Linked DNA regions of Saccharomyces cerevisiae S288C. The gene in region 1 interacts genetically with each later gene. Each region holds a gene or a part of one and is shown on either strand. Other genes may lie near its edges.

Evidence for each region.
Region 2: mutations in INO4 (region 1) and GSF2 together harm fitness more than expected from each alone (negative genetic interaction), as found in Saccharomyces cerevisiae (3 studies listed by BioGRID).
Region 3: mutations in INO4 (region 1) and ICE2 together harm fitness more than expected from each alone (negative genetic interaction), as found in Saccharomyces cerevisiae (3 studies listed by BioGRID).

What each region holds. Positions count from the first base shown.
Region 1 is NC_001147.6:109,128-115,281, reverse strand, and holds INO4 (Ino4p), read left to right. Parts: upstream 1-3,395; coding exon 3,396-3,851; downstream 3,852-6,154. Other genes in the region: WSC3 (Wsc3p), read left to right, coding at 1-1,144; YOL107W (uncharacterized protein), read right to left, coding at 2,152-3,180; ZEO1 (Zeo1p), read right to left, coding at 4,644-4,985; SHR5 (Shr5p), read right to left, coding at 5,393-6,106. UniProt on the Saccharomyces cerevisiae protein: Transcriptional activator of phospholipid synthetic genes (such as INO1, CHO1/PSS, CHO2/PEM1, OPI3/PEM2, etc.).
Region 2 is NC_001145.3:176,821-182,888, forward strand, and holds GSF2 (Gsf2p), read left to right. Parts: upstream 1-1,605; coding exon 1,606-2,817; downstream 2,818-6,068. Other genes in the region: U2 snRNP complex subunit RSE1, read right to left, coding at 1-1,485; pheromone-regulated K(+) transporter PRM6, read right to left, coding at 3,197-4,255; PRP39 (Prp39p), read left to right, coding at 4,654-6,068. UniProt on the Saccharomyces cerevisiae protein: May be involved in the secretion of hexose transporters from the endoplasmic reticulum. Involved in secretion of GAL2 and HXT1.
Region 3 is NC_001141.2:191,618-198,321, forward strand, and holds ICE2 (Ice2p), read left to right. Parts: upstream 1-1,977; coding exon 1,978-3,453; downstream 3,454-6,704. Other genes in the region: rRNA-binding ribosome biosynthesis protein UTP25, read right to left, coding at 1-1,578; YIL089W (uncharacterized protein), read left to right, coding at 3,982-4,599; AVT7 (Avt7p), read right to left, coding at 6,314-6,704.

The sequences.
Region 1 (6,154 bases):
GAAAAGTTCTGAAATGATAGCCACGACAGTTTCTACCACTTCAACAACCTCTTCCTCGACTTCCTCTACTACCTCTTCTACCACCTCTTCTACCACCTCTTCTACCACCTCTTCTACTACCTCTTCCTCGACTTCCTCTACTACCTCTTCTACCACCTCTTCTACCACCTCTTCTACCACCTCTTCTACCACCTCTTCTACTACCTCTTCTACTACCTCCTCTACTACCTCCTCTACTACCTCTATCTTTTCTGTTACGTCTAGCTCCTCATCCATTACATTGTCCTCATCTGAGCATACCACAGTCGATAGCCGTACTTCTTCACCCTCTTCCACCTTGGTGCCAGTGTCCTCGAGTAGCAGCACACTATCAACTCCAAAAGTGACCTCAATGACCCCTAGTACGTCATCAACGATACCAATAGTTACCTCAGTGGAACTAGTGACTAGTGTGGTTACAAAAGCGATCGTGAGTACTTCTGATCAACATCAGGAAACAATATTTGTTACGAGGACATCCGTGGTTGAACGATCTTCTGAGGTAGCTACTGCTACTGCTGCCGCCTCAAATAATAGATCTAATTCGACTTCGAAGCAGCGTCTGAGTGGTGGAGCCATTGCCGGTATTGTTATTGGTGTTGTGTTTGGCGTAATTTTTATTATTTTGATTCTATTGTTCCTGATATGGAGGAGACGGAAATCGCACGACCAATTAGACTTGGAGGAAACGAAACATTATCAGCCCTATTCGTTCGGTGATGAGGATGCAAATCCAATAGGACCGCCTCCCTCCTCTGGTACGACAAATTGGATGAGACATTCAAGGGGTAATACAGCGGGTTCTATCGGTACAAGTAATATGTATGGTTTTTCTATGAGTAATGGTGCAAATTATAGTAGTCCTAGTTCAAACACCAGTGGAAGCATCATAAACAACTTGGCTGGCTTACAAGATGCTACGGTTCAGAAACAGAACCTTCCATCGACAGTTTTTGAAGAGGCAAATACTTTGAATAGTGCAAATGAAAGGTTCAGTGCCAATTCTTTACCCGACATGATGATGAGCGGACCATTGCAAGTGGTAAACCCTGATAATCCTGATAATCCTGAATTATCTAGTACCGTATCTCATAATCGAGCCTGAAAAACTCGCATAAACTCTCAACATTAATGGTAATCAACTGGTTCTGCTGGACGGAGCCATTCTAAATCATTAACTTTATAATATCATGTTTTATACCCTAATATTTAAACAATTTACTGCTTTTGGCACTTCAACTGTTAGAAAAAGAACAATAATATTTAGTATTTAGTTTCATTTTTAAATTTTCTGATTCACTTCATTTGCAGCTTCTAATGATGTTTGTGGTACAAAAATATAAACAATTTTAAAATATTAAAAAAAAATGCTTCCAATCGGATTTGAACCGATGATCTCCACATTACTAGTGTGGCGCCTTACCAACTTGGCCATAGAAGCTAAATCTCTGAAAGCTGCGCTCTTCAAAGGCGAACCAAGCAAGATAAATTAATATTATTATGTAAAACTATCGTTTTCCTTTTGTTGATTCCTATATCCCGGAGAAGAACTACTAATTATCAAATTATTCACCAAATGATCAAATTTAGCAGCGTAGTGAGTGCCACTATGTAGATGTTGGAATAAAAACCAACTATCGTCTATCAACTAGTAGTCATACTATCAATATATTATCATATACGGTGTTAGATAGTGACATAAGTTATTATAGAAGCTGTCACCGAAGTTAGAGGAAGCTGAAATGCAAGGATCGATAATGTAATAGGATAATGAAACATATGAAATGGAATGAGGAATAATCGTAATATTGGTACATAGAAATATAGATTCCATTATGGGGATTCCTATATCATCGAGGAGAACTTCTAGTACATTCTGTATACCTAATATTATAGCCTTTATCAACGATGGAATCCCAACAATTATTTCAAAATTCACCCATTTCTCAGTAGAATTATTAATATTGGGGAATATATGGGTTTCTATGGTTCGATAGTACTGGCGCACATTCAGCATACAAATCCTACTACCTTGGTAAAGACCGAAATGCCAACAGCCGTCATTAAATCACGATATAATAGAGCATATTTCAAGTTATATAGATCCATATATCAAGGGTTTACCATACGCTCTTCCAAAACTTGTAAAGCTAACTGTCTTCGTCTTTCTTCTACAGTCATAATTTTTTTGGCGCCTCTACTTTCTGCGATGGTGTTCCCAATATCTATATCAATATCATGAAAAGGTTTAATGACTTTAAATTTTACAACAACTACATTATAAATGAAATTGAAAATCGGCCTCAAAATCGGCTTAATTAGATCAGGAAAGAAGTAAATCAATTGAAAAGTATCAGATGCATCGCCGACCAATATTTCCTGACCACCTTGAGAATTAGTTGTTGGCAAAGAGGGACAATTCAAGGGTGCAAGTTTCTGGAAAAACCTCAAGTACGACCAACTGGCAAAAAAGGTAACCCAAATGGAGAACAATTGAGCAAAATGATGAAACCATATTATTTGGGTTACCGTCATTGTAAACATTACAAAAATGGGTAGTAATTTGAACCTAAAGTTTTTGGCCAAAAATTGAGGTGTCTTCAGATGGATTATAGTTGTTTCAGGCAATAACTGTCTATAAATGATAGGGAAACCGATTAAAATTGTGTAGTTCCCGTCTAAGGGAATATCCAGCCTTACCTTATTAGAGAAAAAAGATACTAACAAAGTCAGCATGATGATCAGAACGTTTGTAAGAGAACCTAAAACTATGATAAATTTGAACATTTCTTTGGAAGAGTTCCAATTGCGTTCAATGAAGGATCCACCAATGATCAAATTCAATAAGTTCACTACCACCTTCCAAGCTTTAGTGTCGATGAAGTTGGATAGAACTAATGAGGTGGGGTACCTCCAAATCTGCGAAGGTACCATTTGCAAAAGCGGCGAAGTAATCAAGTTGTAGTCCAAGTTAGGGTCTTCAAGAACTAGCTTGTTGTACAAGGATCTCCTTATACAGAAAAGGGTTGCAGTTAAGCATATATAAGTGACTGTAATAAATTTAGTAGCATCAGGAATCTTATTGATATTTAAAAATGAATCCGGGATATTCAATTCTAGGAACCTCGAACTATATTGCATTATAGTGAACAAATATCTTTGTTATAAATAGATTAGTCGTCTTCTTTTTCTTGGCTTGGTTTGTATGAGCTTGTTACGTATCAAACAAAATATTCACATGTTTTTCTCACCTTAAAGACAGAGGCGCGATTGCGTTTGCGAAATTCCAATGCCAACAAGATAAGCTTGACGAAGGAGTTAAGAGGGCGGCTTGAACTAAAAAGAGAAAAGCAATAATGACGAACGATATTAAGGAGATACAAACAATACAGCCGGGATTGTCCGAGATTAAGGAGATAAAGGGTGAACTGGCTAATGTGAAGAAAAGGAAACGCAGGTCTAAGAAGATTAATAAATTGACTGATGGTCAAATACGTATAAATCATGTTTCGTCTGAAAAAAAAAGGAGAGAATTGGAAAGAGCTATATTTGACGAACTGGTAGCAGTAGTACCTGACCTGCAACCCCAGGAAAGTCGGTCAGAACTAATCATATACCTGAAAAGCTTGAGTTACTTAAGTTGGTTGTATGAAAGGAATGAAAAGCTGAGAAAACAAATCATAGCTAAGCATGAGGCAAAAACCGGCAGCAGCAGCAGCAGCGATCCCGTACAAGAACAAAATGGAAACATTCGGGATTTAGTACCGAAGGAGTTAATTTGGGAGCTGGGTGATGGACAGAGTGGTCAGTGATTCAAGGAGTAGGGTAAAGTAAGTAATATAAGCGAAGAAATTCTTCCCATACCTTTTCTTCACTTTGCAGAGGGGAGTGGTGCATATCCCACAAAGAAAAGTAGCAACAACAATGATATATATACGTTACTACTAATGCTTTCCTTCATCGAAAGTGTGCCGAAGTATTTATTTAATCTTTTAGTGTTCAACTTACTATAATGTGATACTTTTTCAATATTGTTTGCCGTTGAAGCGATAGTGCTTTATGTCATTTTATCTTTCTTTTACATTGTTTTATTTTAGAGCTAAAATTGAACATCAGTTTGCAAGAAGTCAGTTGGTTGGCCTTTGCTATTAAGAGACCATAATGTTATAGTGATTGAGATCAGTTTCACCAACTAATAACAATTAACCCGGGCGGTTAGTGTAGTGGTTATCATCCCACCCTTCCAAGGTGGGGACACGGGTTCGATTCTCGTACCGCTCATATTTTTACTTTCTTATCAAACTTTTTTTCCTCCGGGACGTGAAATAACCGCCGAGGTTATTCTCGGAGCATTCTTTTTTGTGGCTTTTGATCATCCATCATCATCATCATCATCATTATTACTACTACTACTACTACTACTATTATTATTATTATTATTATTATTATTAGTATTATTATTATTATATTGATTAGTTATTAGATAGATACAATTAAGAAAAATTTATGTAAAAGGTCAGAATAAACAGCATTTTTCTCCTCTTTTTTTATTTTTAAAAAAAGAAAAAGAAACTTCTAGTAAAGTGCAGCACATTCAAGTGTGATTAGTTGAAAATGGAAGCAATTTTACGGTTCAATTTCTTCAAGAAACCGCCTTCCTTCTTGGTTTCCTTCTTCTCACTGACGGCGGCGGAAGCTTGCTTCTTAGTTTCTTCAACTTTGTTGGCAGCTTCGGTCTTCTTTTGTTCGACACCATCAGCAATGTTTTGTTCTTCCTTCTTCACCTGTTCAGCTTCTGGAGTAGCTTCATTTTTTAGGTTGTCGATAGAAGCTTCAGCTTGTTCCTTTACTTCTTGGCCCTTGTTTTGCAAAGATTCTTTGGTTTCTTCCAACTTTTGTTGGACATCTTGGGCGGCAGTTTCAGCTTTGTTTTGAATTTCAGACATTATTAATTGATATAAACGTAGTTTTGTATGTTTCTTTGATTTGAACTTTTAAGTATACAGAGAAAAAAACCGATCAAAGAAAACTAAAGTATAATGAGGTTAAAAACGAAAGTAATAAAGTAGAAAGGCTATCAAGCAAACTGAGATGATCTTCGACGTAAAAACTCGCTCTATATATATACGCCATATAAGCCCATCGGCGATGGGGGACAACACGAAGAAACAAGAGAAGAGGAGAACCGCACAGAAAGCAGCAGAAACAGAGCAAACCAGCATTAACTAAAGATGATAAAAATAAAATTAGGTAAGAAACCTTAATTGGATATACAAAAATACACTGGAGGCACAAATCGCCATCGATATAAAACACGATAAAGCCCTGGTGCACCCATAAACCACACGTTTAACTATTTGGGTCGGGGCACGACGAAATCTAGGGATAGGCACCCGGACCGTCGGGGCAATACTAGGCGCACACCGCGCTCGTGAAGCAGACCTCCCGGCGAGTTTAGCTGCGCCACGTACTGCTCTAACGCGAGAGACTCCTGAAACACAGGTCTAGAAAGAAGGGGCCCCAAAACCCAGCTCCACAGACCGCCCGTAAGCATATCGAGCAACAGGCCACTTAAGTTACGCCACCCGAACACCTCACCTTCTTCACGCAGCAAGAATCCGTTTACCCGGTGCACAACCTCCGCGAGCTCTGCCGCACTAAGATATTCTGACAGAGGCGAGACGGAGGAGCAGCCAAACACGTGATCCCCAATGTCGTAACGCCCGCACCGCACAAAGCTAGTGCCATCGTCGCCCACGATTGCCGCCGGCTCGCTACCGGGAAGCTGTGTACTAAATTGTGGCGTTTCAAGGCTGCTGCGAGACTCATCGAACCGCCGGGGCACTCGTACCACCCGGGTCACCTGGAACTCGGCAGAGCCCCGAGCAGCATACACATTCGGGAAATGTGTAATACACAATTTGTGGTCTTCGTCGTGCTCTGTGGGTTTAGCGTCTTCGGAACCGAGGTCTTCGTAGAATGAATACGAAAACTCATGGTAATTAAAAAATAACGCCCTTTCGCTCGTATTTGCGTTATCTTCTTCCTTTTGATGGCTATCGCACATCTAGTAAGGGTTAGATTGAGTATTGTCCTCTAATGTAACTTTTTCCTC
Region 2 (6,068 bases), on another chromosome or scaffold:
ATCACTGACAATTTGAGATTTTATTGAAGGGTTCAAATTCAATTGTTGCGATAATATGCTCAAATTCTGCAACTTTATGGATGGTTCGAAAACTAGCGACTTATTTGGATCTTTTGAGGTTAAAACATTAGAAAAATCATTTTTCTCTACACCAAGTTTCTCAAACTGGAAAAGAAAGTTGTTATTCATTTCAGATAGTGCAAAAAGATAACCGTTTTTGAAAATGTGTAATTGGTGTGAATTTTGGATTGTATCAAAGTAGGACAATTGAACTAAAGGTCTATTTCTATCATTAGTGTCTGGACTTACAGTTAACTTAAAAAGATCGCCATGGTTAGATTGTAAAAGTACGAAAAAATCATTTTTCAATTTCTGCACTATGCCTGATATGATTGTTACATTTTTATGACGGCTATTTGTGATAGATCTTTTGGGTATTTCCACTTTCAGGCTGAAAAATCCGTTCATATCCTTTACCAGAATATGATTTTCGAAGCCTATGACAACAAAAGGGTTGAAAAGGGTATCATAGTCAGCATCATAGTTGTTGTCGCTTAGCGAAGTTGTTATATTATATCGCGATAGATCTGGCAAACTCAGTACGAAATTGGCAGATGGGTTAACTAAATAATCTGCCTTCTTGACGATGTGATTCAAACCCAACTCGAGGACATAAAATATCAAGTGTACTGATAGTTGAGTAGCGGCATTGTCGATTTCTAAGGTAACAAAACATGGATTATTGAAATTTACATCAACAACTGCCATATCCAGCGTTACCATATGGGGTCTGATGATTTCCAATGGAGACGAAATCCTCAATTTTTGAGCATAATCAACGAGGAAACACAATTTATTTTGTTCGACAGATGAGAGAATGATACAACGCCCATTAGGGTCAATTTCCATGTATGATATGGGAGAGACTCTTCGAAGGGTGGTCCTCGTCAATGGCTGGTTCACTAAAGTCTTAAGTCTAAGAGCACCTGCATGCATAATGATTTGCACGATACTTAGGTTACCAGAATCGGAAGTTAGCGCTAGAAAAGTGGGCCAGTTGGAAGCTTTTGCCCTTGACCCTGAATGCGGCAGATCCAGCGACTTCATCGAGGTTATCGTCGCAAACAGGTTTTGAAACTTGGCAATAAGCTTTAGTTCCCCATCTGCAGTATCATAAAGTTCTAAATGCGTCTCAGTAGCTACGCACAATTGCGACTGCTCACGCTTGGACCCTGCTTCCAGATCGACGAAGTGTCCGATGCAGGAGTGCACGAAATTCGTCTGTTTCTTTAAAGTAAGATGGTACAAGTATAGCTCATCATCTTTAGCAACCATTGTTATGTTATGGTCACTCCTTGTTCTTCTTTCAGCCTCTCGTTTTAAACCGTCATAAGCCATCGTTGTGCTAGCTTGCCCAAATAGTTTACGCATCTTCGCCGTGTGGGGCGACAAGCTTACTACTGCCATTTTGCCACCTCCCCACATTTAATGATGGAAAATATTATAAAAAAGCGAGAAAAGAAGCTAATGGTGCCATTGTTTTCCTTTTTAGAGAGGGGCAGCAGAGATCGGTGGACTTTGTTTTGATAGAGGGCGATTGCAAGCATGGAGATTTACATTAGACTTAACGCAGATGTCGAGCACGACTATGCGTTTCAGGTGTCAAATGAAGACACCATAAATAACAAAATTAAGAAGATTTTCCCTTCCAAGACGGGTTTGGCGGACTTAATGGTGCTGAGACCATCAATTTTCCATGAGAAGGAGCCCGTAAAGTTCTATAAGTCTATCCATCCAGGGTACCTGTCCGAAGGTGGTTGTTTGATGTTCCATTATGAAGCTGATAACGAAGAAAATCTCGAGGAGTTGAATGACTCCAAGCCGCTTATTGACCAGTTGTGGCCTGGTCAGCTAGTTGTTCCGGAGTGGAAGCTATCCAAGAAAAACATATGGGTATACACCATTATTATGTTGGCCTGGCTATATACCGATTTGCCCGACGCCATTTCTCCAACCCCAGGTATTTGTTTGACTAATCAATTGTCTAGACTATTGATTCCTGTAGCCAAGCACATGGATTTACCTGAAATTGCCGCTAAACTCGAACAAGAAGTTCAGGCAAACTATTCTAGTCTCGTAGCTCAATGGCTTTTCTTTGTCATGCACATTTTCAAAGTGGGCATAATTACTTTATTCCTCAAATTAGGCATTGCCAACCCCATCAGCTTCAATCCTTACAAGTTATGGAGTTTGAGAGATTTAACTTCTCCTTCTGCTAACGGCGCTAAGAATTCTGGCGGCAATAACAACACTACTGACTTAAAGACACGTTTGCGCTCTCTGGGCTGGATTGGTGCTAAGAGAGCTACTTACGACGATTACCAGACTAACTATTACAACTATGTCATAGATAAGATGGGTGGTGCAGTTGCTGCTTATAGAGCGGGCGCGATTAGGAAAGCTGCAGCACCAGGTATCCAACTTGTGGCTGGAGAGGGTTTCCAAAGTCCTCTAGAAGATAGGTTCACTGCTTCCACTTTCACGGCTATTAAAACCGAACGGAAATTCATTTTAAGTGAAGAATACTTTGTGGAGCTGGAAAACAATCTAAAGAAGATCTTGGAAGAGTATGACGGGGATATTGGTAAGATGAATGCTGAAATTAGGAGGTTTAGAAGGTTTGGTATTTATGAACCAGATGAAAAACTGGCCTCGCTAGTTAAGCTCAGAAGAGAAATTGCTGATGAGAAAGAGAAAGCATCAAACAATGATGCTACTTTTGGTATAAAAAAGAATGATTTGAAAAAATCTAATTAATTGTAAAACCAAAACACTACCATCCAGACTTTTTTTTTATTCAACCATAGCCTTTAACTACTACTACTACTACTAGTACTACTACTATTACTATTACTATTACTACTACTAGAGGGCCTTTTTTTACTCCTAGTATTTTTGTACTATCCTATTTACTCTCGTTGTTTTTATTAGTTTTTTCACTCTTTTTTTCAATTCCTCACGAATCTACTGTTTTCGTAGTGCTTTTTTTTGTTTCATTGTTTATAGCCATCAATGGTTTTTGTTACTATCATTATCATTATAAATATTTCATACAATATATACAATATATATACAATAAATGAGAATCGATTTACTTTTAATGCATTTTTGCAGTCAAAAAAAGCTTCGTTTACATTTATATGTATTTATGTTTGTATTTCTGGGGGAAATATGCCTTTATGGGCGTATATACTCTTTCGTACGTTTCTACATCCGAGTAGCAGTAGTAACTCGGTATTGTGCTTTCGTCGCCATAATCAGGACTATCATAATCGAATTTTTTTTGCGTTTTGTTGTCACCACATATGGTCCCTTCTTCCTCATCATCTATCAATATTCCCAATTCGTAGACAGTTCTACTTAAATTCTCGTCAATGACTTTAGACACATACTTTCGTAGTTTCAATTCATACCCCTTAACCTTCCTTTTACTAGACAAAAATCTCGGACGTATAAAAATGATGAATATTATTATGCTTAGAATTAATTTGCTTATTAAAATTACCCATATGATAAACGAGAACAACATGAAGGACAAGATCACACTTTCTTCGTAATTTGTCTTAGCAATATGTTTTATCTTGTTTATTATTCCATTTAGGTCATCTAAATTACCTAGGCTTTGAGTACTATGGGTTCCGCTACTGGTCTCATTCGAAACTGTCAGTAAAACTGACCACAAAGTTAATCCGTTGATTATTTGCCTTGGAGAGTCACCGAACAATAGCCTCAAACATCCACTGATTTCAAAATATGAAAAGAATAACCACTTACTGAATTTTTTCTCATCAGTCAGCACTATTAGTTCGAAAATTTGATACTTTTTGAAATTGAACAAGCAATTTATTAATCTGCTAATGCCATTCATGTAGTTCGATGTAATCTCTTTCTTCCTATACACTCTCAATCCAATTACCAACTCCCAAATTAATATTAATGAGGAGCATAATATGCATCCGCTAAACAACCATTTTGAAATACGGAATTCCAAGAATGGTTGGATGATATTGTTCGACCATGTGTTAAATGCCAGTAATTTAATACACGTGTATATATCAGAAAAAAACATGGCCACATGTAGTATCGACTGACACCAGGTGTATAGAATATACTGTAATTTTGTGGTCCACTTCGCAGTAGGAATAAGATTTATGTCAATATCCTGGAATTTCAATTTTTGTAAACTTGATTCCATTATTTAGCGCTTTGTTGTCATTTTCCTTTCCCTCTTAGACAATGTGGTAAAAAATGCCAGCTCCAGGGCTTTCAATTAATCCATTATTGATTTTTAATCTGGAGGTTTGAGCATGGCTGAATAATTTATATACAAATATCTTTTTTTATTGTTTCAGATCATTCGTTTTCAGTATGATTTACTATCATTCATTTTCTTTTTCTTTACCATTTTACGTCGCCGTCGCACATCTTAAAACAAATTTAATACAGAGTTGAAAGTTTCAGACTTAAACAGAATTTACGCAAGAAAGTTTTCAAAGTCCTAAAGTAAAAACGCGCCTTCCACAGCCATTTCTTTGTTCAACAAAAAGTTTTGGCCCTTACTGCTATTGGATACTTGGCAATCCGTCTTTCGTTATGCCAGATGAAACAAATTTTACAATAGAAGATATTGAGCCTAGGCCTGATGCCCTTCGAGGTTTGGACACCCAGTTCCTTCAAGACAACACAGCATTAGTACAAGCATATCGTGGTTTAGACTGGTCAGATATTTCTTCGTTGACCCAAATGGTAGATGTTATAGAGCAAACAGTGGTTAAATATGGCAATCCAAATGATTCAATCAAATTGGCCTTGGAAACTATTTTATGGCAAATATTGCGTAAGTACCCTTTATTGTTTGGATTTTGGAAGAGGTTTGCTACTATTGAGTACCAGTTATTTGGTCTCAAGAAATCGATTGCTGTTCTGGCCACCTCGGTCAAATGGTTCCCAACTTCTCTGGAGTTATGGTGTGATTATTTGAATGTGTTGTGTGTTAATAACCCGAACGAAACGGATTTTATTAGGAATAATTTTGAAATTGCAAAGGATCTTATTGGCAAGCAGTTTCTATCACACCCTTTTTGGGACAAGTTTATAGAATTTGAAGTTGGGCAGAAGAATTGGCATAACGTTCAAAGAATATACGAGTACATTATTGAAGTTCCTCTACATCAGTATGCGCGGTTTTTCACATCTTACAAGAAGTTTTTAAATGAAAAAAATTTGAAGACAACAAGGAATATTGATATAGTTTTACGAAAAACACAAACAACAGTAAATGAAATTTGGCAGTTCGAATCGAAAATCAAACAGCCCTTCTTCAACCTGGGCCAAGTGTTAAATGATGATTTGGAAAATTGGTCGCGATATTTAAAATTTGTGACGGATCCTTCAAAATCCTTGGATAAAGAATTCGTAATGTCCGTTTTTGACAGATGTTTGATTCCTTGTCTTTACCATGAAAATACGTGGATGATGTATATTAAGTGGCTAACAAAGAAAAATATATCCGATGAAGTGGTAGTGGATATATACCAAAAAGCCAATACGTTCTTACCACTGGATTTCAAAACTTTGAGGTATGATTTTCTTAGGTTTTTGAAAAGAAAATATCGGTCAAATAATACCTTATTCAATAACATATTCAATGAGACAGTATCGCGTTATTTAAAGATTTGGCCCAACGACATATTACTTATGACGGAGTACCTTTGTATGTTGAAAAGACATTCTTTTAAGAATTCCTTAGATCAATCGCCAAAGGAAATTCTAGAGAAACAAACATCGTTTACTAAAATCCTAGAGACATCAATCACCAACTACATCAATAATCAAATTGATGCCAAGGTGCATTTACAGACCTTAATAAATGATAAAAACTTAAGCATAGTCGTGGTAGAATTGATAAAAACTACATGGCTTGTACTTAAAAATAATATGCAAACAAGGAAATATTTCAACCTTTATCAAAAAAACATCCTCATTAAAAATTCTGTACCGTTCTGGTT
Region 3 (6,704 bases), on another chromosome or scaffold:
GTTTTCTGATCCTATTACCTTGTGATTCTTCCATCTTCCTGCCATGTTACGGCATCTACCATTGATTAATGAATTAGCCGCTGGCGAGATGTATTTTGTGAATACCATTGTCTGTCTGAAGAGCTTAGCTTGTTCATTAATGTACCACATCCGAATTCTGCTAAAGTCAGCTTCATGTTGTTGATCCGGGATTTTGTTAAGATGGTCAAAGATGGTGAAAATATGAGATATGTTCTGGTATTCTATTGAATGTAATTGATCAATCACCATCAACTCTATTGAGGACAAAAAATCGTCCTGCCTCTTTTTTTTATCTGTATTTTCTAAGATCATTTGAATACCCAATGGCGAACATACAATAATGTCAGACTGGTAAAAATTGCTATAAAGTTTTATAGCCTTTCTTGTGAATTTGAGACCGACAACAAAAAAATCGTTGGTGTTCCCCCTAAATATGTGTTGGAAAGATTTTGGTTTGGACTTTGGAGGTAAGGAGTCGTCACGGAATTGGTCGTAGAACTTTCCCTTCTTGTCAACCTGATCTATACCAGATTTTGAAATTATCTTATCTACAACGCGGTACGCCACCTCTCTAGTAGGGACTACAATTAACACTTTTGGTCTTGTAAAACCTTGATCTAGGTGTTCAGTGTCTGGGTTATCCTGTAATCTTTGATTATTTTTCAAGATTCTATCTCTTGTCTTGTAGATGTGATTCAAAACATGCAAAGCATATAAATCTCTGTACTCGTCTTCGTCCTTTTCGTAGGAGTCATACTCGTATAATATGTCTTTATACTGAAACATGGGGTCTACTAATTTTTTTTGCAAAGCAGTCAATGGATCAGTTTTTTTATCCAATAGTCCATTTTGCACTTTTAGCCTTTGTTTCAAAAAGTATGAATATATAGATGATGACCTGTACGGACTTTCCACCAATGCTTCCTCACCAATTACTACCGGTTTAGCATATATATATGATTCACTGTCACTTAGTGAGCCCTTTACGGATTTGTATTTTACACTTTTGGTCTTGAAAGCATTCGACAACTTATCAACGAATTTCTCCGGAACTTGGTTGAAATGAGACTCGAAAGGATCTTGCTCATCTTCACTGTCTATATCTTTTTCGTCTCCACTGCTGTCATCGTCGTTATCATCCTCGTGATTACCCAAAAGGCCATTCTCTATCTCCAATTGATCATCCACTGGTCCATGTTCTGTATTTTCGTGCTCATCCTCCCCAACTTCGGCAGGAGCTTTGTTACTCTCGTCAGCCTCTCGCCTTCTTCTTTTTGGCTCTGGATGTTCAGATTTGAGAATCGTCAATAAAGCGTCATAAACTTTTTCCTTTTTACCCTCTTCATCCTCAATATCGAAATCATCGCCACTGTCGACATCGGACACTTCATCCTCATCGGATCTATGGTCAATATCTTCTGCTACGTCCTCTAATGTTTCTGTGCTTCCGCCTTCAGTTCTGGCAGAAGATCTTTTAATCTTCCTCAGTTCTTGTCTTCCTCTTTTCCGATAGCCACGGAAATTATCATTCTTTTCCCTCACAGAACTGTCACTCATTACAATTTGGTCACTTCGCAATTATACCACCGTCTCACTGAACCAATGCAGTTTATTCCCTGTATTATATTATTGCAAAATATGCGATGAGCTAAATTATAGTAGTATTGCGAAGGAAAAATTTTTCAGATCATGGTACACGAGGAATCGCATCAGCTTGAAGCGAAGCAAGGGACTGGAGCGGTTACTGGTTTCGGAGAGATGATTGATGAGAAGATGAACATAGGTAAAGGATCGAGGTGTAGTGATACTGGAAGGGCTGTGCGTAAAGTGTTGGTGGATCTTATAGTATTCGTGAAGCTTCTTTTTCCGTTTTGCTCCCCTCAGCCCATCGCGTAATTGCTTAGATCTATTAGAGAGGTGCTGTTTGTGGCCGATCACGCTAAAGATTAGGCAACGATGACCAGTTTGTCCAAAAGCTTCATGCAGAGTGGACGAATCTGCGCAGCATGTTTCTATCTGTTATTCACACTACTTTCAATTCCAATCTCGTTTAAAGTTGGTGGTTTGGAATGCGGGCTTTCCTTCACGGTGACACTGTTCACTTTATATTTCATAACTACGACTCTTAACGTGTTGGCAAGACGACATGGAGGAAGACTATACATTTTTTTTACCAACTGTCTGTATTACTCACAACATTTTATCATTGCATCTTTGCTATACCTGTTTTTGTCTGGATTTTCTAATGATGAGTTGGGAAACGTTCTGAAAAATAAATATAATGAGTCGGAGTCGTTCCTGGAAGCTTTGAAAAATAGCTTGAATTCCAATCAAATTAACTACGTCTTATATTATTACTACTATCGATTTGTTGTACAACCGTGGCAATTCGTGCTTACCAAGTCCACACCTTTTTTTACTCTATCGGAAGGTTTTTTCACTATTTTAGCCATTCAGGCCGTCGGGGAAACTAATAGATGGTTATCAAATGACTTGAATTCAAACACGTGGATTATTTCCTCATTGTTAACCTCCGGAGGTGTGATTACCGCATCGCTGTACTATTTGTATCGGATTTATGTCACCCCCATATGGCCGTTATCCATCCAAACGGCGTCCTTATTAGGACTTGTTTTGTCTATGGTATGTGGACTGGGGTTGTATGGTATTGTGAGTCAAAAAGGATCCGTCATAGAGAGCTCTTTATTTTTTGCGTATATTGTTCGTTGTATTTATGAAATTTCCCCCAAATTAGCTACTACCGCGACTGATGAAATTTTAAATTTGTTCAAAGACGTCTGGCAGAAACATCAAAGAAATCTGCCCACAGCTGACAATCTTTTGTGCTACTTTCATAATGTCATATTGAAAAATGCAGAGGTGTTATGGGGGTCCTTTATTCCTAGAGGAAGAAAGAAAACCGGTGATTTTCATGATAAACTCATTAGCATTCTATCATTCGAAAAAGTATCCTTGATATCTAAACCATTTTGGAAATTTTTCAAGAATTTCACCTTTAGTGTTCCGCTATCCATTAATGAATTTTGTCAAGTTACAATTAAGATGGCAAGCGAATCAGTTTCCCCAGCTATAGTAATCAATTTATGCTTTAGAGTTCTGATGTTTTACTCGGCAACGAGGATTATTCCAGCATTACAAAGAAAAAATGACAAACAGTTGCGCAAGAGTCGCAGGATCATGAAGGGATTGTATTGGTACAGTCCTTGCATATTAATTGCTATGTATACTCACCTGATTTTACAATATTCAGGTGAGCTAAAGAAAGACCTGTGCATATGGGGTTGCAGTGAAAAGTGGTTTGGCGTAGATCAACCAGAAATTATAGTAGATTCATGGGGATTTTGGAACTGGTGCAACATTTTCTGTACTATTTTGGTATACGCTACAGAATTAATAGGTTCTGGTAGTTGAAGCTGATGCATTGTCAAAAGAGCCGCATTACCAGCTTTGCCAAATACGCGAAGACAAAAAGGAAGGTGAAATACCAACTGACTTATAACTAAGTGATAGATGATATCTGTTTTAAGTGCCATTCCTGAACCATTTTTACATTTGGTTAGTTTCTTTTTTTGTTATTATTTGCATTAGTCCCTTGCACGTTCATAGTGAAAATCCCTTACGCTCACCACTATTTTCTAATAAATACAATGAACATTTTAACTCATACTCTAATATGTAGACACATAAATATATAAATATATAACATTTCCCTGAAATACTACTTTTATTACGTGGTAGATTTTAACCTGAAGCCGATGCAGATTATTCTAGATAATTTTATTTCGGTTTTTTTTTTTCTGTTTTGCTAATTTCCAAGAACCCTTTTTCTTCTCTTATCACAACGATAAGAGGTACTTAAGATGATCTTCATCCTTGGATTATTATTCTTTCCCTCTTAGAAAAGTGAATAATGAGAAGAATCCATTCTTAAATTTGGGAATGCAACGTACGAGGGAATTGGAATCGAGTGTCGCAATAGACCAAACTGAAGTACCCCGATCTAGATTTTTTATAATGGTTAAAAAATTATCAAGAGTTGCCGATATCGTCTATATAGTTGACACATTTCTAATTCCGCCATTGCATCCTTTAAAGAAGCAGCATCCAAAAGTTGCAAAGTTTTTGAAGGTACAACTTGTCTTTGATTTGATATCACTGTTTATTTTTGCTACGCACCAACTCCTACTGCTAGAAGATGGTAACTTTGGGAAGCACTACTTCAAAAGGAAAACAAAACGGTGCTCGAAATTTTCGTGCTCTCGCTGTAATGCAAACGCTCACCACCCCAAGTGGTTCAAATTCAAACATTCACTCCTATGTCTAGGAACGTTCTGTTTTGGGGTTTATTCGTTGGTAAAGATTAATAAGTTCTTTAAAACTGATCAGACTGTTGATCTAAACAGACTCTTAGAGCTATTCTTTTGGCAACTTAATGCAATTCTTAATATGAAGTTATTCGCCTTTTACGGGGACCATTTAGAATCACATAGTGCGCCTCTTGATGTGTATGAGGATTCTTTTGCAAACAAATCATCGTCAGGCGGTGACGAGGTTTAACAACTGTAGTTTTTTCGATAGTATCTTGAATCTGGATAGCATTTAATTGCGATTGAAACAAAAATGGACTACTGCACACTGTCTAGCGTTCGATATTTTCGTGCCATTATCACATATGATCTTCGGAAAATGAAGCAGATTATAACATCGGCTGAATTGATTAAAAATGTTAATAGTCTCCGGAAGCTGATGCGTAAAGATTAACATTGTAGTGGGAGAGTGGGTGACAGGGTATAAAAACGCAGAGAGAAATAATTATTAAGAACGATATGAATTACTGACGTTTTTTAATTTCGTGTTTAGAAACACAGGTGAATCTTCAAATAATAATGTAAATTGCATTTTTTTAAAAGCAAATCTATGGATATATTGGGTATACTGTAAGTTCTCCTCGATAGTACAGAAAACCATAACAGAACATATAATTATATGTAATTGTTGATAATTAGAGGTTAAAAATTAGTATTAATGAAGAAGTGAGTACTGATCTTCTTATACTAAATAAGAGAGGTATATAAAACACACGCCGATTGGTCATATTAATTATGACCAATATAATAGTGATTCCGGTAGTTACTATACATTGATGTGACGACTCATATTCCTCATATATGTACCTACCATAACATGTTCAACTAATAGGTCTTTAACACAGCTTCAGTATTGTCTGAGCTTCTCGTTTAACATTCCTTCTGCAATAGGCGCAATCACACTTAAACGTATACGAGTTGTACATTAATATACGATGTAAGCATTAGATTGTTACCATAGCAACTCATGTCACTATTAATTACTCTCGTTCCAACAGTAATTACCGTGGTTATTAATACGGCTTGCTTATTTGTTCCCAGTTGTCAATGAACAGTAATTGAAAGGCAGTAATAATTAGGGATAAATACTGTATATTCTTATGGTATATAAGAGAGAAATGGGTGAATTTTGAGATAATTGTTGGGATTCCATTGTTGATAAAGGCTATAATATTATGTATACAGTATATATACTAGAAGTTTTCCTCGAGGATTTAGGAATCCTCAAAATGGAATCTGTATTTCTACATACTAATATTAAGATTATTCCTCATTCCGTTTTATTCCTTATTCCGTTTTATATGTTTCATTATCCTATTACATTATCAATCCTTGCATTTCAGCTTCCTCCAACTTCAATGACAGCTTCTCATAACTTGCGTCACCATTTAACACCGTATATGATAATATATTGATAGTGTAACTACTAGTTGATAGATGATGGTTGATTTTTACTCCAACAGGTTTTTATTCCTACAATTTTCCGGACATATATATATAAATAAAGATCATTCATATTTACTGATATGGTAACATGTTTTTCTATTCAAATCAAGCTAATCAAATCCGATGTAGTGTAACGGCTATCACATCACGTTCTCACCGTGGAGACCGGGGTTCGACTCCCCGCTTCGGAGTTATTTTTTATTCTTTTTTTTTTAGGGACTATTTAGGCAGTATTTTTACCACTAAAGCGCATGAAGTCACATTCTCTGAGCCTGCTCCATTTTTTCAGGGATCTTTATTGTTTAGCAGGGTAATACCTTTTTGTAAGTGCCATAGAATAAAGTATTAAACTAGTCGATGATCGCGTTAAGCATAAAACTTTGAGTCTGCTGTCTCTGATTCTATTTACTATTTACTATATACTGTTTTATACTTCTCTTGCATGACTATTGGTCCATTTAGGCTTCATCTGAACGGTTGAATACAGTTACATACAATGACAAAAACATCACAGATAGTCCGTAGAAGACTAGCAATAAGCTGCACCTTTTGTAAAATCTATCTTTTGGTGGAATCATCTTCCCAATAGCCAAAGAATCCAAGCCTATTAATTTGTAACCTAATAATCCAGGTAAAGTGAATGAAATAGACGTTGAACCTGTAGCCCCTACAAATGAAAGAACCAGTGCAAATGACTGGACAGACAACGCCAAGGTATACATGCTTATTAGTAATAATGCAGTAATCCAGTAAAATCTAGACTTAACAAATGGCGCATGATGCTCGTTATCCCCGGCGACCGCCATAGTCCCTCTTTCATCATTATTGTTCTCTTGACTTTCAATTGAA